Linked DNA regions of Schizosaccharomyces pombe. The protein of the gene in region 1 interacts with the protein of each later gene in a biochemical or structural test. Each region holds a gene or a part of one and is shown on either strand. Other genes may lie near its edges.

What was found.
Region 2: the proteins of pir2 (region 1) and red1 are reported together in a solved structure, tested with the Schizosaccharomyces pombe proteins (one study listed by BioGRID).

The regions. Positions count from the first base shown.
Region 1 is NC_003423.3:1,213,228-1,229,251, forward strand, and holds pir2 (C2H2-type zinc finger domain-containing protein), read left to right. Parts: upstream 1-6,177; 5' UTR 6,178-6,281; coding exon 6,282-6,345; intron 6,346-6,397; coding exon 6,398-6,505; intron 6,506-6,559; coding exon 6,560-6,590; intron 6,591-6,661; coding exon 6,662-8,288; 3' UTR 8,289-8,363; downstream 8,364-16,024. Other genes in the region: serine/threonine protein kinase Ppk31, read right to left, coding at 1-2,694; peroxisomal targeting signal receptor Pex5, read left to right, coding at 3,792-5,588; BAR adaptor protein Hob3, read right to left, coding at 9,133-9,879, 9,922-9,969; tsp0 (tspO-like protein), read left to right, coding at 11,747-12,214, 12,742-12,768; CCAAT-binding factor complex subunit Php2, read right to left, coding at 12,683-13,687; nbl1 (borealin N terminal domain-containing protein), read left to right, coding at 14,535-14,649, 14,699-14,867, 14,939-15,080; GINS complex subunit Psf2, read right to left, coding at 15,249-15,800.
Region 2 is NC_003424.3:5,063,855-5,079,878, reverse strand, and holds red1 (protein Red1), read left to right. Parts: upstream 1-5,980; 5' UTR 5,981-6,006; coding exon 6,007-6,151; exon of another isoform or gene 6,152-6,429; coding exon 6,430-6,490; intron 6,491-6,690; coding exon 6,691-8,417; intron 8,418-8,461; coding exon 8,462-8,667; 3' UTR 8,668-8,948; downstream 8,949-16,024. Other genes in the region: Golgi alpha-1,6-mannosyltransferase Och1, read left to right, coding at 1-693; protein mcp3, read left to right, coding at 1,885-4,743; ASTRA-associated protein 1 Asa1, read right to left, coding at 9,077-10,183; serine protease Psp3, read right to left, coding at 10,684-12,039. UniProt on the Schizosaccharomyces pombe protein: Promotes the exosome-mediated degradation of mRNAs containing a DSR (determinant of selective removal) signal sequence from mitotic cells.

The DNA.
Region 1 (16,024 bases):
ATTTTCTGTTTGTGGAACGAACGGACCTGGCCCACTATTTAAATTATCCCATTTAATGGTTCGAAAAAAAGGATGTTTTTTGATTTCCTGGTATCCATTGCTACCCAGCCGTTTGTTACAGTCTGGATCCATGAGTTTGGTGATTAAGTCTACCGCCTCCTTTGAGCAGCTTTCTTTCACTCTTTTAGTCCAACCAATATCATTTCTCTCTATGCGAGCCCATATTGCTTTTACAGTATTTGCTTCAAATGGTCGCGTGCCAGTCAACATTTCGAATATCACACAACCCATCGCCCATATATCGCCCATCTGAGTATCAACGCCCATTAAAATTTCTGGAGCCATATAATTTGGCGTCCCTGAAATATCTTTTTTGATGAATGTCCGGTTTTCCTTTTTCTCTAACTGATTCATTAACATGTGTATTGCTGTTTCATCCATGTTATTGATATCAAAGTCAAGTAAATGCTGGACCGAGTCATTGGCATAATCACTATTTTGCTGTGGACTCTCCGCTTTCTCAAGCTCATCAATATTCCCGCGGTAATTTCGAACATATCTTACAAATTCGAATTTTTTAGGTTGAAGCTGCTCATACAAATTTCCATGTTTCTGTTCAAATGACATCCTCTTAGTAAGCTTATAAACCTCTTTTTTTTCCTCTACGTTTTCACTCAGTCCGAAGTCTGTAAGCCGAATATGTCCTGTTTCGTCAACCAACATGTTGGCAGGCTTTATGTCGTGATGGATGATTCCATCCTGATGCAAAAGCTCGATAGCATTTAGTAATTCAGCTGCGTACTGGCAAACCCATTGCTCTGGTAACGGTCCTAATTTTTGAATAAGTGTTTCACAATCTCCTCCATTAAAATAATCCATTACAAGGCATAGGTAGTCCCCAGAATCAAATGCATAATATAATTTCACTGTGTTTGGTCCATATCTTTGGATATGCATGTTACGCTTTTCAAGCAATAGTCCTTTTATTTTTTTTAAGCTATCAAGACTGGATTTTGGAATCATTTTAAGAGCAAAATACTTTCCTGAAGATCTTTTTTTAGCAAGATAAACCCTACCGTATGCCCCTCTGTTTATTTCTTTTAAAAGTATGAACTCGTCTAATGAGTGAGGAGTATTATCCCCAAATCTCCTATCATTATGGCTTGGGAACTGCATACTTTCGGTAAGAAAATGAACGATCGAGGCATAGAATTTGTTAACAAATTTCTGCCGATTTTTTAGAGGTCTCACATCCAGATCTTCAATTGATCCCTTTACCGCTTTAAAATAATCTATCCTTGTTGTTTTAAAGGTTTTAGACACAATTAAGTCTTTTTCTGTTAAGCGTTCTCCAATCTCAAAGTATTTTTTATGTCTTTTTATGGTAGATATACGTTCTGTTCGTTTCTGGATGTCATCGTAAATTGAATTATTATTTTCAACGTTCCCAAGGGCTAACAGCCTGTTGAAAAACACTGGTCTCTGTTCGGAAAGGTATTGGTTTACGCAAATTAGATTGGACAATTGAGCATTTCCAAAGTACAGACTTCCTTCGATGTTTTCCATCTCAATTGATAGCATATTCAAGGAGTACGTTTGAAGAAAATTTTTAACTTCATTAAACGTTGCTTGATACATTAAAATGTGATTACAGAGTTTTATTTTAGACGATAAATTTTTCAAAAGAAGTGAATGAACATCGTAAAAATAATCCTGGATCTTTGAGGGAACAAGAAAATCATACTCCCAATTCACCAATGATTTTTCATAAATCTCTCGCTTCATGTCTTTCGCGGCAGAATTTGAAATTGTCAAAAACGTTCGATGTTCTAAATAAGCAAAATTTTTAATGGATTTGTCCAGTTCCTTAACCAAAAAGTTCAGAGAGCTTCTCCATGATCGAATGCGAAACCTCTGTTTTCTGTTTTTCTTCCCGTTGAATACTGTTATGACCGGCAAGGAAAGAAAGGTTTCTTCAACCATATGATTACTACCCGTAGGGAGTTTGTTAACTATGTCTTCTATTTCCAGCTTCTTACAATTTATCAATTGTTGTACGGCGAAAACGCGGCGTACGAGATCATTCCAAACAAGGCAAAAATCGCTATGTACCTCAAAGTACCACTCTGGTAAATTATCTTCACACAACGAACATAATTTTCCTGAAGGAGGAGGAACGTGTATATAATTGTATTTGATTATTCCGAGCAAATGATCATGAAGAATGAAGGCACCAATCCCTAACGTGTTAAACAGGATGAAATCCATTTCGTTGATCACGGACCGTTGTGGATATAAATATTTTCCTGCCCACAAAACCCTTGTATCTTTACCATACAATGAGTCTACTAGAATGCCTCGAAAAAGCATTCTAATATACGTCTTTCCCTCAAATGGAGCTTTGGCTTGTTGAATATAATAATTAGGACTGCGTATTGGATTACATCTGAGAAAAGCAAAGACATGTGCAACTGATATGCTTTTTCTGAAAAGATTATCGGTTGCTTTCTTCATTAAGTGTTCATCATCGCTTTGAAGATACTCATAGAAACTACATTGAAATAAATCTCCTTCGTAGCCGATTAATTCAAAAAATGCAGGATTGGCATATTCCACTATTCCATTTTTTGACATTTCAATTTTCAGCAGAACTTCGTGGGAAAGTATCCTCTTCAATTGCTCTGGATTAGTCATTGTTTATCATAATTGAACACTTTAAGCTTCTTGGTATAAAAGAAATTGTATTCAAAGTTGTGTAAAATCAATGCAAATGGTTCTTACGCGATAGTTTTTCGGCAAAGACTTTTAATAGTTTGTAAGACTCGTATAATTTAAATACCTTTTTTTACTTATGAAGCGGAATTGTTGTTGTATACAATGTTTTCGTTATTATAACATCATCAATTTATTACTTGGCTTTATTAAATTCGCCAACTAATATGCTAATTCATAATGAGATCACAATTTGAACGAGCGATTTTTAGCACTTTAATTAGCGACAGGTTCTTTAACAAATATTTGTCGGATGTGAACTGTAGGTGGCATCAATTGGTATTAAGCAGAAAACAACCAAAACCATTGTTACAGCGAATATTGACTAGCGAAAATTAATTAGTTTTTTAATACATTTTATTGTGAGCGACAGAAGTATTTGGTGATTTAATTCATTTGGCGTTGTAATTTAGACAACAGGTGAATAAATAGATGTAGAGTTAATACTTCAATCCAACCCTTGGTTTAACTTTCTAATCACACTAATTTGAAAAGAACTTAGAAATAATATGGATTTTTTTCTCTGTATCATAAAGCTATGGTTTTAACATATGCAGCATGGTTTACAAAAGTATAATAAAATGTTGAAATCTAAATTCCTTAGTGGCAATAGATTAGTCTGAAAAAATAAAGAGAAAGTCTTTATTATAAATTGATATGGGTTAATGTGGTGTATTACAGAAGCGATTAATCTAACGTGCTACGCTCAGCATCTACATGAACTGAGCGCACTCATCTAAATATTTTTGTAATTGGTAATAAGCAGCAATACATGCCTGAGTTTATACGCAAGTTTTGTAACAATCATTGGTGCGATCAATTTTTGTTTTTTGGTTAGTTGCATCGTTACTTCTTCCGCTTTTTTGTTTTCATATTTTTGGTTTTTAAAACACATCGCAAATTCAATCAAGTTGCGAAATTTTTCATTCTTTGATATTAATTTTCTTACAACCTACTTAAAAAACTATTTCCTTTTGGTCGAGAGCCTTTATATTGGCTATAGTCTACTTTCTTCAAAAATGTCTGTTGAAGCAGGATGTTCAACGCTATCTAATCCTCTTAAGAAATTGACTTCCACAGCTGTTGTCAATAATTCAACACCTTCAGCTCAATATCGAAAACATTTAACCAAGTCTCAAAGTCGTACTTACGCTCCTTTGCAAACGCTGTCTGAGGATCAATTCACATCTTTCAAAAATCTCCAAGGAAACAATAGTCCTTTAGGTAATGTAGTTAAGAACCCAGTTAGCTTAAAAACTGGAAATCATACCGGCACAACTACTCGTGGAGGCTCGAAAGAAAATTGGGTACATTCTTTTTCTTCTCTTCAGCAGCAGAATAGTAAGTCGGCTTGGACATCAGAATTCTCTGAAGTATTTCTCAATTCATCTGAAAACGACCGTTTTCGAAACTTAAACCAACCTTTAAAACAATCTTTTTTTGGTTCCGCTGGACTAAATTTATCTTCAAATACTGAAATACCCTTACAAAGTTCTTTAGCTATTGACGAAACTGAGTTGGCTAAGAAATTTGAGGAAGCTTCTCAAATCTCCAATAAATTAGAGAAGGAAAAGGATGCTACTGGAAGTAAATCAATTGAGGAGCTATGGGAAGAGCATCAAAAGCAATTGAAAAACGCCGGGCTAGAGCCCGCAAGTTTAGAGGAATACCAGAAACAATGGGAAGATTTTTTAAAGTCAAACAATATTTCTGACGATCCTTACACTTCGTCTGTGAATAGCTTTGCTAATGATAATTTAGCTCATAATAAAAACATAGATCCTCAAATTTTCCAGCATAGCGATACTGATAACGTTGTTGAAAACTCTTTACAAACGGAAGATGTATATTCACAGAACCAAGATGAATCTTCAGAGGTTGTGAAAGAGCTAAACGGAATAGATCCATTTGTTGAAGCCATGAATTTAATAAAAAATGGAGGATCTATCTCGAAAGCAGCTGTGTTATTGGAACAATCTGTGAAAGAGAATCCACAGCACTTCGAGGCCTGGAAATGGTTAGGTCGCATTCATACTCTATTGGGAAACGAATCGCGGGTTGTTGAAGCCCTACTTGAAGCTGTCAAATTGGATTCAACCAATCTTGACTTAATGATGGATCTTGCTGTGTCTTATGTTAATCAGTCTCTAAATGTTCAGGCATTGGTTTGCTTAGAAGACTGGATAGTCAACAGTTTTCCCCAATACCGAAACAGGTTTGCAAAGATAAACGAAAGGTTTGAAGAGAAAGATTCTGCTAACGATCTCTTGAAAATGCAGATGTATTTCTTGGATGTAGCTTATGAGTTATCACTTGCTAAGAAGCGTTCCTCCAAGGTACAAGCTGGATTAGGAATAATTATGTATATGTTGAAGGAGTATGAGCGTTCTGCAGATTGTTTTCGGCAAGCTCTTCAAGACGAACCAAGTAACGAAATATTGTGGAATAAGCTTGGTGCTGCTTTAACAAATGCAGAAAAAAATACTGAAGCTGTTTCTTCCTATAATCGGGCAGTATCTCTACAGCCCCAGTATGTTCGAGTTCGCTCAAACATGGCTGTTTCCAACATCAATTTAGGATACTTTGAAGATGCTGCAAAACATCTACTTGCTGCAATTGATATTATACAAAACAGTTCTACCTCAATGGAGAGCTGCGAATCAAATGAGGAACTTTGGGAAATGCTTCGCAAAGTATTTTTGATTGGATTCCAAAGTACTGATCTTGCCTCTCAGTCCTATCCTGGAGCAAACACTAGTTATATACGAGCCCAGTTAAGTGATCTCCAAGGTTGGCCCGGTGTTGAGCTCGAATAAATCTCTTAAAGCAAACGTGCTTAATTCATTTTTCATGTTATTATTTATTTGGTTGTTTTTTTTTTTAAATTTTTTGTCTGAGGCATATCTTTTAGAGGACGTGCAAAAGCTACTTTTTTTTTGTTGCACAAGAAATGAGATAACTTACGCTTCAATATCTGAAGCAGAGAACAAAAGTAAAAGAAATCTTACTCTATGCTACCAAAGTTACTATTGGTATGCAAGTTGTACCTTTCTTGACCGTTTATACAATGGAAATTAGATCTTCAGTGATTTGAAAACAGATGTTATTGTTTACTTTTGTGAGAGTGCTTCTAAGCTCTTTGTAAGCACAGTTTTTTAAGTAATCCAACATTGTATTTATTGACGATAATGAGACAATGTTTAGTATTAATTGTTCAATAGCATTCGCATAAAATTCGAAGTCTCACTTTTTTGTTTAATCATTTGCTTTTATAATCTCAGTTTATTTAGATATACTGATGCGTATAATAAAGTATTTGACAATTTTCTATATTTTGAATAATGAAACTTAGTGTACCAGCATAAAGTGCTGTATGGATATTTCTCTCTCGTAAGAACATTCTTCAACTAAGCAGGTTGAGTACCAATTTTGACCCAATTGAAATCATTAGTTTTTTAATAAATTAATCCCGATTGCTGGTATTTATAGAAGGGGAACAGTGTCAAAATATGAGTGAGGTCCATCAAGAAAGTGAAGTAGAGTACAGTCGTTGGAAAAGAGAACGCTCTCCTGGTAAGTTGTTAATGTTTAGTTTGATAGAAATACTCATCCTTTTTTTGCATAGAACGGAGTCAAAGACGTTCACAGAGCCCCCCTGGTGAACAGTCTGCGTATCATCGAGAACGGTCTCCTCTACGAAAGCGTGGTAATTACTATGATGATAGAACAAGAGGTAAGAATAAATATAAAATTCTATGAATTGACCTATTAACTACAATACGTCTAGCTTCTGGACCTTACCCTACATTTACTAAACCGTAAGTTACGACTAAATAAATACTCTACTCGATGTGAGTGAAAAACCAAAGTTTTCTAACAAGGAGACTAGTTTAATTGATCCATATACTCAAACAAATGCGGTTTCTTATGAACGGTTTATTCGGTGGTATAGCAAGGAAAACCATATATCCGCAACAACTGAAGACTTATACAACTCGCTTCATGGAACTTACAACAATTATAAACAGGATCTATACGCTAGGACCGCAAGAAGTTTTGTTGAGAGCCATTGTGACGAAGCTTGGTTTGAAGACAGCTATTGGGTGGACGAGTCACAAGGAAGAGTCCTTGAAGTGTCTGAAAATGAGAAATCTTATCGCCGGGCGTTATACGATAAATTCATGGACAGATTAGACGCCGGTTATTATGATGATTTTCAGCTTCCAACCGCTGAGGATGTAATCGAAAAGCCGTCAATACCTGATAATGATACAGATGACTCAATTCTTCCTTCTAACGACCCGCAACTTTCCAAATGGAACCAAGACTCTCGAAACGATGCAATGGAAAATACACTATTGGTCAGTCATGTTTTGCCCAACATCTCGGTTGCGCAAATTCATAATGCACTCGATGGTATTTCGTTCGTACAACATTTTTCCCTTTCTACTATTAATTTAATCAAGAATGATGAACGCTCACTTTGGGTTCATTTCAAAGCAGGAACAAATATGGATGGAGCTAAAGAAGCGGTGGATGGGATTCAATTGGATTCAAATTTTACTATTGAATCTGAAAATCCAAAAATTCCTACTCACACGCATCCCATACCTATTTTTGAAATCGCTTCTTCTGAGCAGACATGTAAAAATTTGCTAGAAAAACTAATCCGTTTTATAGATCGGGCTAGTACGAAGTATAGTTTACCAAATGATGCTGCACAACGTATCGAAGATCGATTGAAAACACATGCATCTATGAAAGATGACGATGATAAGCCGACGAATTTTCATGACATTCGTTTAAGTGATCTGTACGCCGAGTATCTTCGCCAAGTGGCTACTTTTGATTTCTGGACTAGTAAAGAGTACGAAAGTTTAATTGCTTTACTGCAGGATAGTCCTGCAGGTTACTCGCGGAAAAAGTTTAATCCATCCAAAGAAGTCGGTCAAGAAGAAAATATTTGGTTGTCAGATTTGGAAAACAATTTTGCTTGCCTTCTTGAGCCTGAAAATGTGGATATTAAAGCAAAAGGGGCATTACCCGTTGAAGATTTTATTAATAACGAATTGGACTCTGTTATTATGAAAGAAGATGAACAAAAATATAGGTGTCATGTCGGAACATGCGCGAAGCTTTTCTTAGGACCTGAGTTTGTCAGAAAGCATATAAATAAAAAGCATAAGGATTGGTTGGATCACATTAAAAAGGTGGCTATATGTCTCTATGGATATGTGCTTGACCCATGTAGGGCTATGGATCCCAAAGTGGTAAGCACGTCGTATGTATCCTTACAGATTTTAAACAAGCCCTACGTTGGTTTCAGAAATATTAACGCAAACTATACATTTCCAACAACAAGCTATAGTCGACGAAATGACGAGGAGATAACTTCTGGAGCATCATCACAAAAATCTTATTCGAGGCAAGAACCCATGATCCACAGACGGGAATTCTATAGAACTTATCAAGATTTGGATGCGCCTAACCAGGAGGTTCCAGAATTAGATTACTAAATTTATGTTCTTAGTCAGAAAGATTTTTGGTTAATATCATTTCCTGTATAGACGTTACTAGCAGTTGTAGCTCCATACTATATTTTAGATTTTAAAGTAGCGATAATCTACATTCACAGCTATTGTAAAATTGAACGCTTAAGTCCATGTTCGAAAATCAAACATCGAACGCTGCACAGATAGAAATAAACCCACTTCCAACTTGACTTACAGCTTACAAGATAGCTATTGTTTGGAAAATTAATAAATTACAATTCAAATTAATAATTCGTAAGTCAACAAAAGCATTTTTTTTTCTAATTATTATATTTTAAGATTTGGTCTAAACTTACTTAACAATAGTTATTTATTAGAACAAAACTTGGTACGAGATAGAAAATAAGCACAGTTTAGTAGATGAATCGCTGGGTCGACAGACAATATTGGAAAACCAATTTGTTTATCTGATAATTTGATAACTATTCCCAATTAAAAAATTATAAAGGAAACGTTACGAAACTGAAAGGATGTAGAAGCTTCACAGTTGAGTCTTTAATAAATATGTGCTGGCTTTCCCTTCAATTCCAGTAACACCAATAGAAAATACTCGAGGATAGATAAGTATGGAAAATATTTATGTATCACAAAAAATTGAATAAATTGAAAACATTCCGTGAACCACTTCAGATAAACAAGATAAGATGGTAATAAAGTAGTAAAAGAGAAAGGATATGTTAAACAAAAAGTATTGAGGGATAAGAGATCATGGTTACGTGTAGTAACAATTATTTCGGAGGAGAAAAGGAAAGAGAAAACAGAGTGATAGCGCTATGCACACATACAATCGTGTTTAAAAAACCGATGTCTACTGACTGTTGTTCAAACCGGCGATGGAAAGATCCCGCATACTCTGTAAAACTTGTTCAACTTTATCATCCAACAAACCATTGGAATAGTCTTCGCGTACAGAGTTGTCAAAGTATTGCTGAACTTGAGCCATTTTCTCATATCCCTCCCTACAAAAGCGGAGCTGAATTTTGACAAGGGCTTCAAAGCTAGGGTCCAAATAAGGCACACGAAGAGCAATTAGTTGCGGAAGCTCACTGACCAGTTGATTATTGAGTGTCTCGTAGACCTCCTTCGCCATGGCTGCTTCTTTCTCGGTACGGGGAAGCTTAGTAGTGTCGTTGGAAGGCTTGTCGACCAGTTTTTGAACCTTAGCCCTCATAGCATCATGATCAAGTAATTTGTGATTACGCTTCGTGATAGCGGCATTAATATCGGGAAAGTAACTGCAGAACCTTGAGATGGGATCCAACACCGTTGTCCGGAAAGGACCGTCCAACTCTTTTACGGTATCGGCGTCCAAGTCTTCGACGACTTGTCGATAGTATGCACTGACACCATCCTTCGATCCAGCATCACCGTAAAATGCATCGATTGTGTTAGCGATTCTAGTTTGAGACGCAGTCATGGCTCTCAAAGCATCGAGATAACCTTTGGCTTCTTTTTGAAGCTTCTTTGCAGCTGATTCCATAGTTCTATAACGTCTTTCCTCTGTTTCAAATTCCCGATCCACCGTTCGCTCAACATGACCCGTCTTCATCATAACCTACCACAATGTTAGACAATTCTTCAACACTCAAATACATACCGAGGTACCCGCTCGGTTAACGGCCTTTTTGAATCCATGCCAACTCATTTTTGTGATATGGAAAAGAGAAGCGTCGGCATACCCAGATATCTTATGTCAGTTGATCGCTGCGCTAATGTTCGCTAGCTAAGCTGCATTGGATCTTTTAGTGGATTCAGCAGGATTCGCGTAGGGAACAATTCACGGAAGCAAAGCCATAACGTAAAGCCTGATTGCGAAGTTTATCATTGCGTTAAATAGAATAATGATAGTTTATTTCACAATGCAATTATAAAAAGATAAGGATGAAAAGCGTGTCGTTAATTTTGTGTTTAATTGATAGAGCAAGAGCATAATGGTGGTAAATTTGGGTTTCGAGGGTTGGCTTACTTTCATGTCACTATCAATAAATTACATCGCTTAAAAAATATATCTAAATTTTTCTTGTATAATCATCTGTAGTAAATCTCTGACTGCAATTAGAGGTCTATCCTCAGATAATTCTTGTTCACTAACTGCATCCAGCAGAAATCGCCTTATAAGGTAATATAGTTATGTTATAGTTTAATATAATATATCAATGTAAACATTTTAACTTGACAATATAGAGGTAATATCGTTTGCTCATAAATGGAAGATATTGTGGAGAAGCAATTTGAAATACGGACATTTTACCAACTTATAAATTTCATTAGAAGTGGTGGAATAAATGGTTTTGCATTATATGGATATAATGTTTTGAGGCTTCGACATGGAAAGACACGATTGCTACTTATCAATATATGAGATCATTCATGATAAAACTATAAAGAAAACGCTTTTCAGCGACATTTGAGCTAAAAAAACCCGGTCTCATAGTTTGCATCCTTACTCAAAAAGTGAAGAACTTAAGTTGTAGTAGTGGTGCATTACTTTGAGAGCTATTGTATAGCGATATTAGATATTGAAACAAGAACTCAGCCATTCAATGACAGTTTGTTTGTTCTGTGGGCAGTAAGACATCCAGATAATGCCCAAGAGAAAGATTCTTCTGAAAGTAAGAAACAAAAGCACCGAAATAAACCTTTCTTCTCTCTTTGTTGTCTTATCTAATTTTATAACTAAATTTGCCCATAAATCTCATCTGTGTGATGATAATTAACCGCATTTGACCAGCCCAAATATATTCTATTACAGAAAACAAGCGCTGCTACTAATAGATATACATAATTTTATAATATAATATTAATAATATAAAAAATTTAGTTGTACTGAAAATATTATCTTATGGAAAACTCCTTATAAACACTTTTTAGCGAGACACATCTACCACCACCTTACGCAGTATGAACACGTATTATACCCCAATACCTCGCTCCTCCTTCCCTTCTGTGACGTAATAGACGAGGTTATAAATATGGTGAATTATACATTCGAGTAGCTTCCAAGATCAAACTACAATTAAGTATTTCCTTTTATTTTAGTTTAGTATCGTATTTCTCTCATATCGATACTGTGCCCGTTTTTAAAATGTATGGAAGATTGAAAGATGGTTAAGCTTTATGGTCCAATTTTACTAATCTTCAATTCAATTAGAAGTTTCAACAACTCTTCTCCAAATTTCTAGTTTAATGTATGTCAGTTTTAATTATCAAACTTAACTCTAGCTACTCCATGTCTATTTGCTTAGCATGGTTTGAAAGACCTTTTGTATCTCGACATTATCTCTGCTGTTTGTAAACGAGCTGCATTAAGATTCGAAATACTTATGGTTTTTTAGTAGCAGTCGTTGTTAGTACTCTTTACATTCGTGGAATTTTTTTTTCCCGATTTCGCTAATCAACAGTAAACGATATTATTAAGTGTGATGGATTTGAACTATCAAGTATTCACTAGCATCTCCAAAAATTGGTGGTCCGCTTCTCTCGTTCCAGTCGCCTGCGGCTGGTTCATTGGGAATTCCTACAAGCCAAGAAAGGATTATGAGAACAAAAAGCAACCAAAGTTCCACCCCCCTGCATCTGCCTTTGGACCAGCATGGACACTACTATACCTAACAATGGGATATGCATCCCATTTGGCGTACAAGGCTGACCCTTTGATGATTACGAATGCCTCTCGAAATGGATCCATTTTATACATTGCACAGTTGGCCGCTAACTTTGCTTGGATGCCCTTGTTCTACGGATTAGCAAAACCAAAATTGGCTCTTGCCGATCTCGGCATTTTGACGGGACTTGTTGGTTGGCTTGCAAAGACATGGTGGCCTCTTGCACCAACGGCTTCCAAATGGTTAATTCCTTATTTAGCCTGGTTGGGATACGCTGGCTACTTGGTAAGTAATGTCACTAATTAAGGTTGATGTAGATCAAGAGAGTCAAAAGCATGACATGAGACAGTAGAATGTATTGTTGCATTTAAGAAAGAGCTTAAGCTGCACGATCAAAGTTTGAAAGAAACAGAAAAAAAAACACTAAAAAAACAATAACAGAAGAATCAGGTCGGAGAAAAAATATTATTGGAATAAGAAAAAGACAGCAGGAGGGATATGAGTTAAATAAAAAAAAAAAATTGGGCAGAACGAAAAAAGTCAAAACAAATTGATGGATAATAAATCGGTGACTAAAAAAATAATGAGTATAATATGATATGCAAAAAGGCCATGACTGAGTGATTTCGACTTGTTTCTTTCTCAAAAAATCACCAACAACATTGCAGTCCTAAATTGAACTTTGTCGGTAGGTCGACAACCTATACACAGTCTTGTGATTGTTTTGTATCTCTCTCAGCCTTAATTAGTTGACTACTTCATGGTTCCTGAAGAACCGTGTGAGGGATATGTTTGCTGACCAATTATCATAGAATCTTGGGTATTGCCTGTTAAATTAAGAGGATCGATATCGCTCGCTGGTAGTACAGGGAGACCTGTGGCTGTAGGATCATTGACATCAAGGTGATCAATCGAATCCATTGGATTGTGTGGTATAAAAGCTGCACCTGCAGACACGCTATCATCGTGATACACATCCAGACCAGGAAAAGCACTATGCTCATTTCCAGCTAGTGTAGATGAATAATCATTAGTACCTTTATGAAATGACCCTGGATGAGCAGCTGACGAAGTAGTAGTAGTAGTAGAGTTGTTGCCATTGGTAGAAGCTGTAGCAAAACTGCCTAGTTGAGAACCACTGGACATAAGATTCGATGTGTTTGAGTCGGTCTGTGGGAGCACTGTCATATCATGAGGCACTGGCCCCGAGGTGGAAGCGGTATTAGTGGGCCCACCCGACATGGCAATATTACCACTCATGTCTAGCTCGCCTCTGACATTTGGAGAAGTAATGTTGTTTCCAGAAGTATTGTTAGCAGGAGACATAGATGCTGTGGCAGAATTGATAGGAGCTGGAGACTCAGACGAGTTGGAGATAGAGCTAGGTCTTGAATCATTGCTATCCGCATATCCTTCAGACGTGTGAGTCACTTCAGAAGAAACGGTTGCAGGCACGGTGGCATCATTGGCATTTGTGGCATTAACATCGTCTCCTGTACTTCCTCCATTAGCAGCTGCCTCTGCAGCTTCCTGCGCTCTCAATTTTGATACTTTGTCAGCAGTCAAGAATCGGCCACCAGGACCACGAGGTCGTCGCATAGCATGCTTATGCCTTGATTCATGTAAATATGGTTTTTTCGTAGTCTGCACACCACGCAATCTCTCTTCTAACTTTGCGCGAGCTTCTCTACGTTTCAAAATTCGATGGTATTGCTTTGCATTCACGTAAAGCCCCTCGACCGGCTCATATGGATTCATTGGAAAATGACTATTCTTATTTCAATTGCTCTAACTATTGGGAGGATCTCAGGAATCAAAATTCTGCTCGTTACGGTATATTCGTCTCGTTGGTCGGTTGGTTGGTTTAGGTGGTTTGTAACTCCGCAGGCGCTAGCGACTACCAATGGTAAGCAGCTATTCTTTACATATCGGTAAATGTGTATAACGATTATTGTCGATCTTTCCAGGATTGCAAATAGTGAGGACGGCTTGCAGTGCATTTTGTCACAAACGAATATATAATCTTATGTACACATATGATAATGTCACTAACTGAATGGCATAACTATTTTCTTATGAATTGGGTTAAAAAAAAGCTAACAGTCGAAATATAATACAACAGAGGTTGCATTGTAGCGTATGGCACTGGAACACGTTATACCAAATATCTTTTTTAAACAGTTTTCAATGTTGTATGCGATGTAGTTGAAGAGGGAGACTTTTACCTCGTACAATATTTTTTTATTTGATATTATTAATAATTTACTTAGAAGTAAGCATCATCAATTCTTATGTACCTTTTAAAGTGATGTGTTTCAACGCTTTTATTTTGTAAACTTGCTGCTTTTTTCTAATTCTAGGTCATTATTCTTCTTTCAATTTATAAAATATCTTTTGGGTACGCTTTTTTGTGCAATCCTCTCCTTTCTAACGTTTGTTTACATATTGAGTATTAGGTAACGATGTTACTTACATATTAGTTGAAGATTTATTGTTTATACAACAACTCTTATTCCCACCACCTTTTCAGCGCACCCAGAAGTACCGTCTTTTGATCAGCTGTTAGCAAACATCTGTTTTGTTTTTTGATAATTTATAATGCTTAATGATGAACAAGCGTAAAAGAGTGGAAGAGCTTGGAGAGACGAAACATCGTCAAGTACGACAGCGAATTCTCCAAGAACACAAGAACGATATACTTGAAAATTTAGCATTTGAACGTAAGTTTTTGTACCTGGAAGTAGTAAAGTGTTAACGGGTATTTTTCAGTTTCCGATAAAGTACGACGTTTGCGCTCAAACGCTAGTTTACTTGCTTCAACAATTCGTATGCGAGGAGAAATGCGTATCGCCGCTATTCCTCGCGCTCAACGAAATATGCATCTGCGCGATCTAAAGAACCATCTTTCCTGCAATGTGTCTGCCACACCGTGGAGAACGTAAGTGTAATATCAAATTTTACTTTGCCATACGTACTACTGGAAACACTAATTGCTAATTACTATTTCAGAAAAATAAAAGAATTTTATAATCTAGACGAGCTTTCCTCCCAAAAGTCCGCTAGACAACCTACAAAAACGGTGGCATCCTCCTCTTCTTCTTCATCAAAAAGCACCACCGTTTCCAAATCGAGTTCAAAGTCGCAAGTGTGAAACCCTCATCTACTGCTTACTGTGATAAAATTTCACTACTACAAAGTTGGTATTCATAAACACTTCGTAGGATTCATTATCATTATTTTTAAAGTACATCATCCACACGATACCGAAATATTCTCATGTGAAGTCCATTTATTTCCCACTTTACTTTTGATGAGTAACTCATTCTTCTTGGGAAACTTGAACAATTTTGCGCATTCTGTCCATCACCTCTCGAAATATAGGACGTATTTCGTTAATTTCCATTGCACCCAAATTATCCAAAGTTAGTTGAACTTCATTAATGGCTTCCAATCCCGTTCTTGCTTTACTTTGTCTAGCTTCTCGAATGTCCAGCAAAATCCTCCTGATATCCTCAACATCCTCGATATCATCAGCACAGAAGTTTAACAATAAATGCGCCGTTTCTAGCCACCGAAAAGGCAACTCTGAGAATGTCTCGTTTTCCAATTCATCATCTCGTATGTTTTCAAGTTTGCCTATTTCCATCCATTCCGGAGGTACAATCCTTGCCAAATTTTGCTTTTTTAGCTCAAGAGCCAACCATAAAGGAACCCGACATTTTTTGGGAGGCTTCATAATGGGAATCGTCGCGCTAACTAGCGGCAATTGATCCATTGTTTCTGAAGGAACAATGTTAATATACTCATTGCCAGCTAAAAATTCCATTTCCTCTGGTGAGAATGAAATTTCAAGTTCCCTTGGTAAGGCCATCTCTATCACCAACGAACAGTACAAAAATGCCTATCAATAGTACCGTTTTTGGGCTTAATGTCTTTTTTTATTTAAAGTTTTGTTTTTCTATTTTGGAGTTCGTTTATAGCATTTATTGGTTGTTATTCCTTACAGCATAATTTTTTGTGTGGTGGGTTTCGGACTCATAATAGTCACCCTCATCTAAATCACATCTTGCTCTTAGGTCATCGGTATATGATTGT
Region 2 (16,024 bases), on another chromosome or scaffold:
ATCAACCATCCCAGTTATTCTCATGCTGTTTTAGACGATGAGCAGTCTAAAGCATTGGTCATCAGTAGCTTTGGCGATTCATCAGTTTCCAAGATTTCACAAGCGTATGCAATGATGCCTCTGCCTGTTCTGAAGGCCGATTTCTTTCGGTATCTAGTGTTATTGGCAAAAGGTGGTATTTATAGCGACATTGATACGGCACCATTGAAGCATATAAACAATTGGATCCCTCGTGAATATCGTAAGCGTAATATTCGACTGATCGTTGGCATTGAAGCAGATCCCGACCGCCCTGATTGGAACGACTACTATGCCAGGCGTGTACAATTCTGTCAGTGGACCATAGCTGCTGCACCAGGCCATCCAATTCTTTGGGAACTTGTTCGTAGAATTACCGATGAAACTTGGAAGCTGCATGATTCAAAGAAGCTTTCGAAAAATGGCGAGTCAGTAATGGAGTGGACTGGTCCAGGTATTTGGACCGATGCCATTATGGATTATTTAAATTGGCAGTATGGCCCTTTCTCGGTTGAGAATATCACCAATTTAGAAGAACCTTATCTTGTTGGAGATGTTTTAATCCTACCCATAACTGCATTTAGTCCTGGTGTCGGTCACATGGGTAGCAAGTCTCCAAATGATCCGATGGCGTATGTTCAACATTTCTTTGCCGGTTCATGGAAAGATGATTGATCGTTTGAAATGTGGGTGGGTGGTCATTTCTTGGTATAATGTGCTTAAAGTGTTCGAACCGGGCAATTCGATAATACTAAATACACGCATTTGATCTGGTTTGGAAACTGTTACGGGTTGTGTTCGAGCAATTTTTGTAAATTATAGCTTGCGCAAACAAAAAAGTTTCTTTCGTGGTTGATTTAATCTTTCCCTCATAATTCTACATCTCTTTACGATTAATTTTGCATGTATTTTGTACGTTAGCCAATCAAGTTGGCAATATTGGTGACATTATTGAATTATATGAAGCCAATGCTTATGTCCTGATGATCAACTTTCTTTTTTTTTTTTTTTTCAGCGCTTTCATCAACGCGTTTTATAGCTCAGCACTATAATATTTTCCCTTGTAAACTGTTTTGAATTCTAAAGCTGTTTGTTTCTTTCAATAATTTTATAAAACTTTTGCGCTGATCACAATCAGTCTTTTTCAATTTTTTTCTCTTTTGTGATGGTATATTGACCCCAAAGCGTTTCTGTATACTTAGGTGAATTATCAAAGTAGTACAGAGATTATGCCTAAGATTTGAAGATGAATGATAAACCTGTTTCGGCTTTGTAATTACTTTATGTCTTTAGACTTGCATGAATGCTTCTTGGGATTAAAGGACCTCATATTTCTTCATTAAATTTTTGAGGTTTGTCTCTCTTTCTTTGCAACTACATTTTTTTTCAGAAGGTGACTTTATTTTGCTAGTAGTATTAGCGCTGTATTCTATAATATTTGTTTACTTTGGACCGACAAAGTTCATCACTTTACAGCTTCAACTATACATTATTTTTATTATAAATAAATAGACTGAAAAGTGTTTCAATAATTGAATAAACTTACTATTATCTTTTAAAGCTATGCTAACGCCCTTGCTTTGAATACCTTAGAACATTAAACACCCATATAAGAAGTTATTGTAGTGTTTATTTACCTCCATTTCCCACTGTCACAAACACGATTGTTGAGTGCATTTACAACCTGAAGGTTTAATGCTTTTCCTAATTGATGTTAAAAGTATTTCTTTTTTCCGTTATTTCTTTTCTATAAGTGCAGGATTTACATCTTCGAATTAGAAGCATCGTTGATAAATCTTACAATTGGTAGATTGCTTGCTCAAAATTATATTTTAGAAAAGCCTAACTTATTTGATTAAATACTTAATGACTAAAGAAACTCACGAAAATCATTTGCGTACGCATAACGGGATATTTCCTGTTTCTTTGCTCTCAACTCAAGCGCGTCAACTTTTGAATTTCAAGCTAAAGAGTCCTTCCTATTATCTTTTAAACAGTTTTAAACTCTTAGTTAAATCGGAAGGGAATAATCAATCAACCACTGCAGATGTAACTTTAACAAAATCACCAAATGCTTATCATGCTTCCAGCGCTAGAGAAGAGAAAGATTTACAAGTTTCTCGGCGGGATACTTGCTTTTATTGCAGTAGAAAAATTATCAAATGCATATGCAACGAAGAACACGTTGGGATTGAATCAGTTCAGCTTAAACTTATACTTCTATTGTGCCAAAATCTACCAAATGTTACTACTAATGCAAAAAAATATTTCAGTTCACTGGCTGATGGCCATAATTTCACTTTGACGCTTTATAAATTTTCTTTAGATAACCAAACATTTTCTCAATTACTTTCTCGATTTAAATCTTTTGCTACTTTGACTGAACTACTTCAAGTGCACAATGTTATGCTTCAAGTAAACTTTTCCTTTCAAGCAAGGCAACTAAACACAGAAATTCAACTACGACGATGCCATTCGTTAGAAAAAACATGGAAATTCTTATTTGGCGATTATGAATTACCTGATGTTCTAAAAGATATGGAGTCATCGAATAGTGATTGGAGTGACACATCTCTGAAACGAATTGCCTATTTATGTTCTCTTGTTGAGGAGCTCAAACTTCATTCTTCTATTATGAACGACAAGTATGTGTGCCTTGTGTCCAAGCATAACAACGCATTGGAAGACAAGTTTAACAGTGAAGCCGCGCGTCAGTTGTTGCAGAAATCTCTAAGTATAGTAGCGTCAAATTTGAAACAAGCCGAAAATAAAACTATCAGTTATGAAGAAAAGCTTTCTATAGCTCAAAATTCTATTAATGAAATTCAAACCCAAAACAGGGATTTAAAACTTGAAACCGAGAAGTTACAGGATCAAATCAAAGCGTTGCTAGAAAGAAATCAGTCATTGCAAGAAGCTCTAGAAACTGTTAAAAATGATGAAAAAAATCTGAGAGAAATGAACGCCAATTATGAAACCGAGATGAAAGAAGCGCGTCAAAAGTTAAACAACAAGGAGGCATTAATTAGTCATTATGATGATGATTTTCGAGCAAAAGAATTAAAAATTTCAAGACTTTCCGAAAGTCTTAGAGAAAAAGCAGGCTTATTGGAGTTTCAGTCTTCTGTTAGTGAACAAAGGGATCTACTTTATCAAGAACAAATACAGTCGTCAATAAAGGATATGGAGAATGTATTTCGAAAAAATGAATATCTTATGGAAGAACTTAATGAATTAAAGAACAATCTTGAAGTGGAATCAAGTAAGGTTTTGAGACTTGATGAAGAAATGAAATGCCTAAAGGATGAGCAACTCTCTCAATTTGACACGGTCTTTAGTTTGACTGATGAACGGGATGGATTACAGAAGGATTTAAAAAACACTAAGGGAAATCTTGACGATGAAATCGGGCGCTCTGCATTTTTAAAAAGCCAAATCAGGGATCAAGAGCTAACTATTGAGAAGCTCCATGACAGTTTGGAGACTTTAAGTCAAACTAACAATAGTTTACAGTGTGAGATTTCTGAAAAGAATGCAGAGTTAAATTCAGTAAACTCCAAACTTTCTGAAGGTAGAGCACACCTGGAAACCGCGAATAAGGAGAATGAGATATTGAAGCAGCAATTGGAGTTAAGTGAATCCAAATTAGCCAGTTTGTTAAACTCTTATCAATCATTTATTAATAAAAAAGAGCACCTCTATTCTTTTTTACAGCTTGTCGAGCCATCGTTCGCTAAAAGTGATTCATCTAATGCTACCGAATCCCAAATTTCCGAAAGTGTACGAAAAGGAATTTCAATATTTAATCTTTTGTTCATTGTTTACAAAAACGTATGCTCTCAAGCTGGAATTAATCCATCTACAAAGCTTGAAGATCTTGATGAACATACACTTTCTGATGAGCTGACTTATATAACAAAAAAGTTTGTACAAAAGGATCAAGAATACCAAACGAAGGAAATCGAGTTAAGGAATTATAAAATTACTCTTCAGTCGTTACTTGAAGATAAGCTTATCGGTGTAAATACTGATTGCAGATCACCTTCTTGTTCAGACTTTGAGCAACTAGGGCAAGAAAGCGAAAATAATACTTCTATCTCAGGAAGGGTTAGTAAATTAGTCAAAAGCTTTAATGATTCATCTTCTATTTCCAACAACACAAAAATCTCAATCACTAAGTCCCCATCTGGTGAGAAAGTTTCCGTATTTAAAGAGATGTCAGACATAGCTCTGCGCGATATGGATAAAAACAGAAAATTATTGGGAGAAAATGTTGACGTGAGAAATATTGTTGTCCAAAAGGATGAGTCATTGAACATTGACTTACAGAATAATGCTGTAGTACCTGAACTGCACTTCAAGGAGGGGATGGTATACGATTCATTGGAAAATGCGTATACTTATTTGGCCGAATCCAAACGCATGTTAGCAAATGAACTTCAGATGAAGCAAGAAGATCTTGAAAAAGTTATTTTAGAACTTGAAGCTTACAAGGAAATCTTCTTAGAAGAAAAACAAATTCCTTGTGAGGAGTTTATGCCAGGTAAGAACGCAAAATCCGAAAAGTCACTGCGGTCAGTTTTTCAAGAGCAGTTGATGAGAGAAACAAAGCGAGTTCGAAAATTGGAAAAAGTAAACTCTGAATTGAAATTGCATTGCTTTGAACTTTCTGAACGATTGAGGGAGCGCGAGCATACACTACAGCAAACATTTGGAGACAAATAGTATGTTCGCAAGTAGTAACAGATCAAAGGTACTAGCCTCATTGAGATTACCAATAAATAATCTATGAATACGGTCTTTCGTTTTAAATGCTTGAAGGCCGCCTGTTAGCCTCAAATGATAACTTGACCGGTCTTAAAATTTCGAGGTTTATGGGGGAATTTCAATAATAAATAATAACAAAATCTAGCATTTTTGTTAGGTGATTACATGAAAGCGTTTTGATCTTAAATCATTTCTTCAAGCTCCTGAAAGGCTAAATTTTTCATGTAACGGATTAAACAGACTAAATTCAGATTAATAACTTAAGCAACGGAAGAGTATGTTATAAAACTGCACGATTACATATTCCTCGGTCTTTAGTATTTTTGCACGATCGGCCTTGTAATCAGATACGGAACTACCTTTTCGATGAGGGTTTTTAGTAAAAAGAGCTATTACCAGTGTTACTGTCAATAGTCGGCTTTCGTGCTAAAACATCATAAACGGATACCCGAACTTTTATTGCACACGAAATTTGCATAAAGCACAATGTTTTTGTTGTTTTTAGTTTATGAACTTCAAGTTTTTAATAAAGGCCAAAGACTGTTCCAACGTTAAAACCGAACTGAGCGAAAGAATATTTCTTTTTCTCATGTGCTCATAGAAGGATATGCTAGTAGAAAACATTATCATTATTGGACAAAGGTTTAAAACACAGTTTTCTCATTTTCGCTATTTTTCTTGAACTTCTCCAGATGTTCTATGTTTCTATTTATGAGACAAGGCGGCCGCTACTAAATTACTGACTAGTCCATTAAAAGCAGATTTCCCGCTATAATTTGATAACTCAAAAATGTTATTTCACCTTCGCGTAAATTTGTGCTGTAAACTAGCAAAAGATAATTGGATGCGAAAGCTTTGAATCACCGCTACACTTTTCGTATGAGCAAGCCAATAAGGCTGAACATATTAGCTGTTCTTGTGTTACTTTTTAAAATTGTTTGAAAATATATTTGCTACATTCAGTATACCTGTTCAATAGACTAATTCCGAATGTTTTGTAAATAAAGAGTCTTAGTGCATATTTCAGACAGTTCATTAGAACAAATAAGAAAGTATTCAACCATCAATATCTTTATTAGGGAATAACATGCTCTGAGGTGAAAAAACTTTATGTGCAATAATATTTAATGTTTTTCGCGTTTCACTGTCTTAACTGGTACTACAAACAAAACATCTGCTGTTGAAATTTGGCACTACTAACCCAGTTTTAGCTGTAAATAAATGTCCCGGTCAATAAATCTCGATGAGTTGCGAAAAAAGGCTTTAGAATCAAAAAAGAAGAATGAAGAAGATGAGAGTAATGACTCTGACAAAGAAGATGGCGAAATTAGCGAAGACGATCCTGTTATAGATCAATCAAATTCAGGTAAGGTAGATTAGAGATGGAAATTTACACAAATATATTGTGAAACGAGACTTTTTGTTTTTATAGGCTTGTTCGCATTTTATTGAGTTTTCCTCGACGATTGCTTGCATTCGTTTAGAACATTTCATATCTCTATTTATATGCGTGGCTTTTTTTTTTTTAAAGAGAGAAAAATAAAGCTGGCAGAAGCCTTTTATATGTATTTGGAAATTATGTTTTGATATCCATCTTTTCAATTTTCTCACCGTTTAAATGAATTCGTTTTTTTAACAGTTTAGTTCCGCCAATGAAAGTACCAACCTTTCCTGAGCAAATTCCTCAGTTGCCTCCTTTTGATAGGTAAGCATGGCATTTGATTAAACCTGTCAGTGCAGCTTATTTATCTTTTCTACGGAGCTATTCTCCGCTAGTTATGCTGTTCTGTACGGTTTAACTCCAACTTTGGGATTACGAGAATGACAATTTGTAAAATTTCCTTTTTTTTTTTCGAACTTGAATACATTCAACCCATCAGGTGTCTTATCTAACTAACACACTAGATTTCCTGGAACTAACGCGAATTTTTTTCCATTTGGCGCACCTTTTATGCTTCCTCCAGCTTTGATGTTTGGACCAAATACAGTTCCTTTCTTTCCTCAAACCGCCTCCTCAAACAAAACCTTTTCGAAGCGCAAACGGTCATCTGAGAATTCATTCAACAACCGAAATAAGGCGAAGTCTTCTGAAACATCGGATTCTTCTAATACTTCCCAGTCATTTAAAGAAAACCGGGCTCTTAAAGATACCGCTACTAGCCGACCATTGGCTTTATCATCCGACACTTCTTATCAAAAGAGTGAAAAGGCAAAATCAGAAAAATCACCTTTTCTTTCAACATCTAAAAATTCTGATGCAAATTATTCCAAGACTACTAATCAAAAGGAAGCAGAGAAAGCTGTGAGTCAGTTGTTTGAAGTAGGAGTGCGCTTTAACGATTTTATTGCTGAGGGCATCGAGCCTTCGGTTGTTCATACTTTATTTTTAAAGCTCGGACTGGATTCCTCTTCTGCTAGCTCCCAAGGAAGTCTGACACTATCTGCAGACAAAGCTGCTAGGTCTGCTAAACTTCGTAAGATTGACAGTAATCTTAGTGACACACATATATTACCTGGCGATAATGGTACACCTACCGTCCTTCCTGAAAGAAAAAATCTTATATCTTTACCACTTTTGAAGCAGGACGATTGGCTATCTTCTTCGAAGCCTTTTGGCTCCTCGACTCCAAATGTAGTTATTGAATTTGATTCCGATGATGATGGAGATGACTTTTCGAATTCGAAGATAGAACAATCTAATTTAGAAAAGCCCCCCTCAAATAGTGAAAATGGTCTTACTATGTCTCGTTCAGATTACTTGGCGCTTCTTCGCAATAAAGAAGAGGAAATACGGCGAATGACAAAGTTGATCTTACGGCTTGAGTCTAATAAAAAACCGTATAGATCGCCAACTTCTGCCGCCGATATGAAACTTCCATCTGTCCCTGTAGCTGCGGTTGACAACAAATCTAAAACACACTTGGATACCTTTGAAAAAGTCGTTGATCTTAGTTCCAAAGCCGATTTTGTGGAGGCTGGACCTTCTATTAGCTCGTCAGGAGCCTCGTCTAGTGCTGCAACTACGAATTCTGATACAACTGAGCAGATATTAGAGGCACCTTGGCTCAGAAAGACGGAACAAATTGCTGTGGTACATGAAGAGCATCCCGCACAGATTAAAAAATCCGAGATTGACATTTTAAATAACTTAATAGAAAAAGAGGAAGGAGAACTAACAAAATATCAAACTTTGGTGAAATCAAAAACTGAGATTCTAACACAATTGTACACTAGGAAAAAACAGTTACTCGAACAACAAGGGAAAGGAAATGTTGCATGTTTACCTAAAGAATCTGATTTAAGTATGGACTCAATAACCGAGGTTTCCGCCCAAGCAGATGAGAACTCATCACAGATTTTGTCTTCCAAAACGTCAAACGCGCCAAATGGGACGACGGAAACAGATTTTGAGGATAAGGTACCGCTTGTCGATTATATCTCTCCATTTTACCGCTTTAAATCTTATCGATTTAATCAACAATTTGTTGAGCGAGTACCGTTGAAATATCGGTCGCTTACCTACAGCAATAAGATAGAGCCGATGAAAGTTTTCTGTAAATACGAAACCACTGGTGGTGTTTGTAATGATGACCATTGCGAGGCGTCGCATTTTCGCGACATTAAAATGACGGGTTATGGTATTTGTGCTGTTGATTTTTGACTAACCTTTATACAGATGATGAAATTATACAAGATTTATCAAGGTACATCGAAGGAAATGATGAAATTGAGAAAGAGTCTTATAAATCCGGTTTAGATATAGTCATGAAAAATACCGATGAGAACACCGATTTCGTCGATGTTGCTACTCGAATCGTCGAATATCATAATCTTTGGAAGTCGGAGAGAATGACAATTCCTGTTGCAAAGGTTTCCATTTAGATTGAAACTGCCAAGCAACATCAAACTAACTGTAAAAATTTTGACCGTCAAAATTACGTCCTTGTACTATAAACATCACTATACATAAACAATGGCTCTTTGCCGTTATAAAACTAATGTCACTACTTAATATAGCTCAGGTTAGAATTATGTCTTTCGTACTTTCTATGCTTGCATATGAATCGCTCATCTTATTTGAGGCGATATCAAAATACTGGAAGATTAAGCATTTACTAGTCTGATATTTAATATATTTAATATATGTAATACGTTTAAAATCATTTCAATGGTTATTGATAAAAATGCGCGTATTGTAATAAGAATGAATTGAATCCTGCAAACCAAAAGTAAATGATTTCTTGAAAATGATGATGGATTAAACGTAACTGTAATGTCCTAAACTTTTGCCCTAATACAACTTCCAGAGAGATATTCTGGTGTCTTTACTAGCTAACGCAATCACGTTGCTGCCTGGATGAAAGGCCAAACTATTAATACCATCGGAGTGATATTTCAAAACCGCTAAAGGAGCTAATGTCTGGCAGCTGTAAACACGACCTCGACCATCCCATCCTGCAGTTGCTAATATCTTGTTATCACTTCGTATACGAATATTTTGTTGTCCACAATGCTTTGTCTTTCTAAATATAGGATGAGGCAGACTACCAAGATCATCAGCTATAGATGAAGGAGTAGGATGCAGACATATACAGTCATCAGCACCCGTTGAAAATAATTTGGAACCAGCGTACTCTACCGATAAAACTGGTTGAGAATGACTTTTGTAGGCGTAAACCATCTTCCAAACAGCTTTAAAATCGAGGGTAACAGTCTTTACATTTTCTAATGAACATATGTACTGAACCACATGACCGCTTTCGTAACCGGCAGCTAATAGTACATACTTCTCGTCAGTAACGGTTACTGAGGTTGACATTACTGATCCTGTTTTACCAACAGACTCTTCTGGCTGAATTCTCGTCTGTAGTCTTTTTCCGCAATCCTCTTTGTGTGTTTGAGGATGATACAATGATTCATCATCATATACATCAAGCTCTTCAAAGTTCAATGTATTGCATAAAACTACTATTTTAGATTGAGGAGAGTAAGAGAAGGGGCAAAAGGTTAGGGAATTAACAACGATATTGGAATGAATAGATATAAATGCGCTGCTCTTCTCAGTTTCAGAAGAGGCTTCAGGACCGTAATTTTGAAGTTCAGCTAGTTTTGATAATGACATAAAATTGTCGGTCATGCAATTAAAATCGATTTTCCAAGTGACGAGACGACAGTCTCTACCGTGAGTGCATAAGGCTCCTCCCTTGACTATTTGCATGCCCAATATGGTTTTTGTATGAGCTCTCCAGGCGCATTTTGGTCGCATACTAGTAAGACACCAACAAATTACAAAACCTGCCTCATCACCAGAATATAAGTATTCATTAGCGTCAAAAAGTACACTAGTGACACTGCTAGAATGACCACGTAAAACGTAAAATGGAGTAGGAACTACCATGAAAATTTAAATTAAAGCATCCACTTTGAGCAAATATTTGTAATCATCAAGCTGAGAGGATAGGGGAACAATACAAATTGAACTGTAAAACGAATTGTTGGTGGTAAGGGAATCAATTTTAATAAGCGGTATAAGACAAAATTATAACGGTGAATCCAGAAGGCATTTTTTTTTACCAAGTGATATACCATACTTGTCAAACTACATATTTACTACTAGTACGAATGAACGATAACAATAGTGCAAAAAGTAGTAGATAAGAAAATGAAATAAAATTCTACTATACCTGACATTACAAAAAAAAATCAGTCCTAAAAGAACAAATTGGTATCGTTTTAAATGATTTCATTGCTAAACATAACAAATGTCATTACTCTGAGCTTGTTCGTCTGATGACAGTAGATATTCAACAACTTGGTTAATTGATCATTCGTATCGGAGCATCAAAAAATAAACAATCAAGGTCATCAAGCTAACATTTACATACACATAACTAGCGTTTACTCATAATTGTTGAAGGCAAGGACATTAGGTGTGTCCTCAGGAATGCCATTTAATAAGTCTTTTAGGGCAAACTTCAGCATATACTTCTTCAACTCCACAGGATGATTAGCCAGCGAAGGATCGAGAGAGATAAAATAAGCAGCCAAACCGGCGACATGAGGAGAAGCCATAGAAGTACCAGAAAGGATCATAGAAGCCCTGTTAGATCCAATCCAATCAGACAAAATTAAAGAACCAGGAGCAAAGATATCAACGCAAGATCCAATATTGCTAAAAGAAGCAATTTGATCGTTCCAAGTAGAAGCACCAACAGTCATTGCATTGGAAACTCTGGCTGGAGAGGTACCGCAAGCATCCTCTGCATCATTACCAGCAGCAACGGCAAAGAAAAGTCCACCGGCAATAGCGGCATTCACAGCCAGATCAAGAGCAGTACTTGCATCACCGCCGATGGACATATTGACGACACTTGCAATTGATTCCTTGTCTTTCTTAGATTGCTTAAAGGCAAACTCGATACCTTTAATAATATCTGATACGGTACCAGTACCATCGGCTCGCATTACCTTAACGGCAACAAGTTTGGCATTCTTAGATACACCAAAGGTTTTTCCTGCAATGGTACCAGCAACGTGAGTGCCATGACCATGATCATCCACTTCGCCTTCTCCAGTGGGAATGGTGGCACCCCAAGTGGCACGGCCTTGAAAATCTTGGTGCTCAATGTTGATACCAGTATCGATAACGTATGCAGTAACACCTTCACCGGCAGTCTCATTGTATTGGTAACGAGTCATGGTAAAAAAACCGAGTTTTTTACGATGAGATACACGAGCCAAACCCCAAGGTGCAAAAGTTTGTTCAGTCATAACATGCATAACACGGTCAGGTTCAACAAGGGCAATGTCGGGGTGCTTTTGCAACTCGGCCACCAACCAAGGAGAAAAACGACCAGCATAACCAAGAAAAGCGTCTCCAATTTCAAAGGTATGCTTCATTAAAAAGGTAGATACATCCTTAAAATCTAAGGATCGTTTCTCGTGTAAATGCTCAATCCAACGATGATGTTGCTCAAGCTTCGATTTGTCAACAGAAGGTTTAAACATGACAATGTAATTATTAGACACAGCATCCACAGCGGCTGATGCCGATTCATCTAAAGGAAATGGCATAGAAGGATCATAATTGGTGGGCTGCTGAAGCGCAAAACCATCATCAGAGGGGCCCATAAAATGTTCCTCAGTAGCACCGCTTGAAAAGGTGTCATCCAGGAAAAACCTTAAAGGGTTGAAGGCGCTGGAAGGAGCCAGGTGCGCCACTAATAAGAGACCGCTAATCCAAGAAACTCTCATGATACAAAAATTGAGAACAAGAAGAATTCTACACACACGCTCACACGAAAAAAAAAGTGAAGACTTGTACTTTAATCAAGAGTAATTCAAAAAGCAGATTGAAATAAGCAATTAGCAAACTCTTTCAGCTTCAAGCAACCGCGTAGTGTCTTTGAAAAAATGAATTCGGAAAAAAAGAAAGGAATTTAGAAACCAACAAGATTTCAAGTAATGGATACAAATATAAAGCTTTGCAAAAGAAAAAATGCAACAAAGAAAAACAAAACAATGGAAATGTCAATTGCAAATCAGTTGAAATTACTCAAAAAAAGCAAGTGTGTTGTGAAGAAGTTAAGTTGTTGTGAGCTGTTTACTTAATGTAGTACAGGATAAGGAGGCTGACGAAGTAGCCCGAGTAACATATTACGCTGCCGAAGCTATACCATTCACGATGAGTGCTGTAATGTTGATCTAATAAGAACTCCGTTTTTTGTATTTTAAAAATATATTTCAAGATATTGAGCTCATAAGCGCTTCACAAATGAAAGAAACTAGGCAGTACATTTAGAAAATGAATATTACCATAACGAGGTTAGAAGGTTGAAAACGAAATAAAGGTAGGAGGGAACAAGGGGATTCCTGTTCCAGCTCGAGGAAAGAGTTTATATATATATATACATATATATTGGTTTCATATATCATTATTAGCTTTCAAGGTGATAGACAATATTGATCAATTGATTGATATTGTCAAAGTACGATTGTACATATGCCAACAATTCTAAGATACGCTACAATTCATTACGTTGTATATCACTATACGCTTTACGTTGGAATTACCAGCTAAAATCTCTTATTGATAAAATCAAAAGACTATCGGTTTATTTAGAAAACATTGTAGATTCTATGAAAAAGATTTTAAAAGGATCTTAAATTGAACACGAGGAACGAAGTCCAATTAAAGATATCTTATAAGTTAATTTATAGCTTAAGTATATGAATACTTATAATACTTGCTACCTGCAGGAGCTACATATTACAATATAACGAAATACAAGTCAAATTCTCCACAGCCCAAAATATTGTTAACACAGATACTGTCAGCAATACCACACTTATGATACACTACGTTGCGTATCACTACATTTCCTATGTTAAGATATTACTTAAGATCCGTTTACTGATAAATGCGGATAGACTGCCCTTCTATATACATGAATAAACATTGATATCAGCTATCAAGAAGGTTACAAATAGAGCTACCACTGAATCTCGTTCCTCAGTTCAGTTATTAGCTATATCGGTGACCAATACTAATAGACTTTTTATAACAATAAACATACATTGTTAGTTAAATATTGCATACCGCTACATTGTAGATCGCAAGTAAAAACTCACCGGAATTCTAAATATCGTTAAAACAGATATCAAACTGCGTAGCTAACATTACTACGACATTAAATACTCACTATTGTAATGAGTCACTATAATCATTACGATAACAAACCATCGTTTTCAATCACAATATTTTATTATGCTGTTCATTATTTTGTAAACATTAATTTTGTTTGTATTAAAGTAAACCATTAAACAAAAGTAAAAAAAGACAATTAAGTATGATTCATTAAGGATCAAGATGAAGGAGAAATGAATGTAACAAAGACAATGAAGTTGTGAATACAACAAGGAGGAACAGCGAGTTTTCCGATTTCATTAGTTGACGACAACAGTCAATTAGTGAACTGCTATTTTCCGAATAAATAAAACCATTATTTTAATATTCAATACCCAGTGTATGTTATCCAACATCGCAGAATCTTTCAAGCAATGCACTTGCTCATTCAATTCGTCAGGAAATAAATAATGCAATAAAAAGTACATTGTGATATACTCTAAACAAATTTATGATTTGTTTGAGTAAATCACAATCATAAAGGCGCTTCTTTATTGCACATTCTTATAAAGAAAAGAAGCCTCATGTAAAAAGCGCCTTTATCGTACAATTAGTAAAGTTAGCAATATAATTAGGCTTCACTTTCAGGGTTCATTTCACGTAACGAAATAGCTGTGTATTCATTCACGTGCTGTGTGGCATCACGAGCTAATGATGATTAGCAAACAATTTTTAATGAAGATAGTCTCTTTTCATCCTTACCATTGTCTCCTCTTAATCTTTCCATAATGTTTATTTTGCTTGATCCAGGTTCCACTATACTGTTAATATAAATTAATGTTTATTCAATAACAAACCTGTTTCGACAATAAAAACAAGGATGCTCAATATAGCAAAGATAATGTGATCAGCCAAAGAACATTTCAATCCCCATCTCTCGCCAGAAATGTGTCTTAAAGCCACTCGTGGTGATCCAACAAGTATGTTAAATAAAAAGACTTCACTAAAAGCCATAGGTATGTTTCTCCACTTTTCTAAAAAGTGCTTGATTCCTTTTCCGCAAGCCTTGGTTCAAGTTTCATAGAAGTCTAATGAGTTAGTGACTGAAGGTAAGATTACCCATTGTCTCACTTACAAGTCAAGAATATTAAAGCCAAAGTGCAAACAAGACACCAAAATCCAAATAATGTCCATTCCGCTGCACCATAATTTTTAAAGAAAGCGTTCTTATACTTTAGATAACAAATTGCAAGTACATTCAGTACATAGATTGGTGTGAATGATATTAGCAGTTTTATCAAGAAAGGGGAAGAATTATCTGTCGACCTGGAAGGATTGTTTTCTCTATGTGTGTTAGGAGGATTATTTACAAGTGCGTGATCTGTTTAAATTAATATGATTGAAATACTTTAGTAAAGAAAGAGCATGTATCAAATTGTGTGCATTGCATGGCCGACTGTAAACAATGACCAAAGCATGCAATTTGACAAGATGGCAAGTTTCAACTTTCCATTGAGTAATTCCTTTCTTATTATTTACAATTCTTACCTGAATATGGAGGTAATGCGCCCTCTTCCTCCGAATCATATTCTGGGAGTGGTCCTTTTTCCAAATCGATTTCATGATCTGTCTTCAATTCATCTTCTTCATCTAGAGGACTTTTCAAAGAAGTGTAATCATTCTTCATTTCATCAAGATCATTCTTTATTTAATAAAACACATGCGCGAATTAATTGCTGTGATTGCGACAAACGAAACAGCGAAATCAAGAATATTCGCTCTGTAGTCCAATTCCAATCGCTTTAAAGACTTTTTAACAAAATAATAAAATTGTTCAAACAAATTTCCAACTAATTCCTTCAAACAATGGCATAAAAAAAGAAGAACGAAAAAACTGAACGAGGCAGTGAATTACTTCTGACACATTTATTTTGTCACTGCCCTTTTTATTCACCCCAACTTAGCTTTCCTTATGTTTAATTAAGTAATCCATCATGACTCAGTATAAGCGTTTGTATCTGTATGGAATACGCAGTATTGCATTAAGTTGCTACATTCGGCTTCACTATAATAACATTGTTCTAAATCACAATAGCTTATTATGTCGTTCATTATTTGGTAAACATTATAGGAGTGAAAATAAAGTAAGAAATGAATAGCATATTTATAAGCTTGCAACTCAGCTTTGGATATGACTGAGAAGAAGTTCTTATTTTTTTAATAATTGCCTCTTTGCTCTTTTTCTTCTTTATTTGCTTTCATGGATAGCATGAACATTCCCTTCTTGGTTCGTTTGTCCCTTCCATTGTAATTGTCTATTTCTTTACTCAGAGGAGTTTTTTCCCCTACTATTTCTTCCATGAACAAGCAAGATTCATTTTATGCTTCAATAAAAGATTGAGCGATAGCAGTTAGGATCTGCTTCTTCACTTTCCTCATTACCAATCCATATACGCACGTGGGTTTCTTGAATTTTGTAACCGAAAATATTATAACGAGGTTCTTTGGAATAAAATACCAGTAAGTGTTATATGTACATTTTCAACGATTAGTCAGAAAAATGGAATTTTCAAATTAAGCAAAGTGTTTACCCGTCTTCGCAAACACTCAACC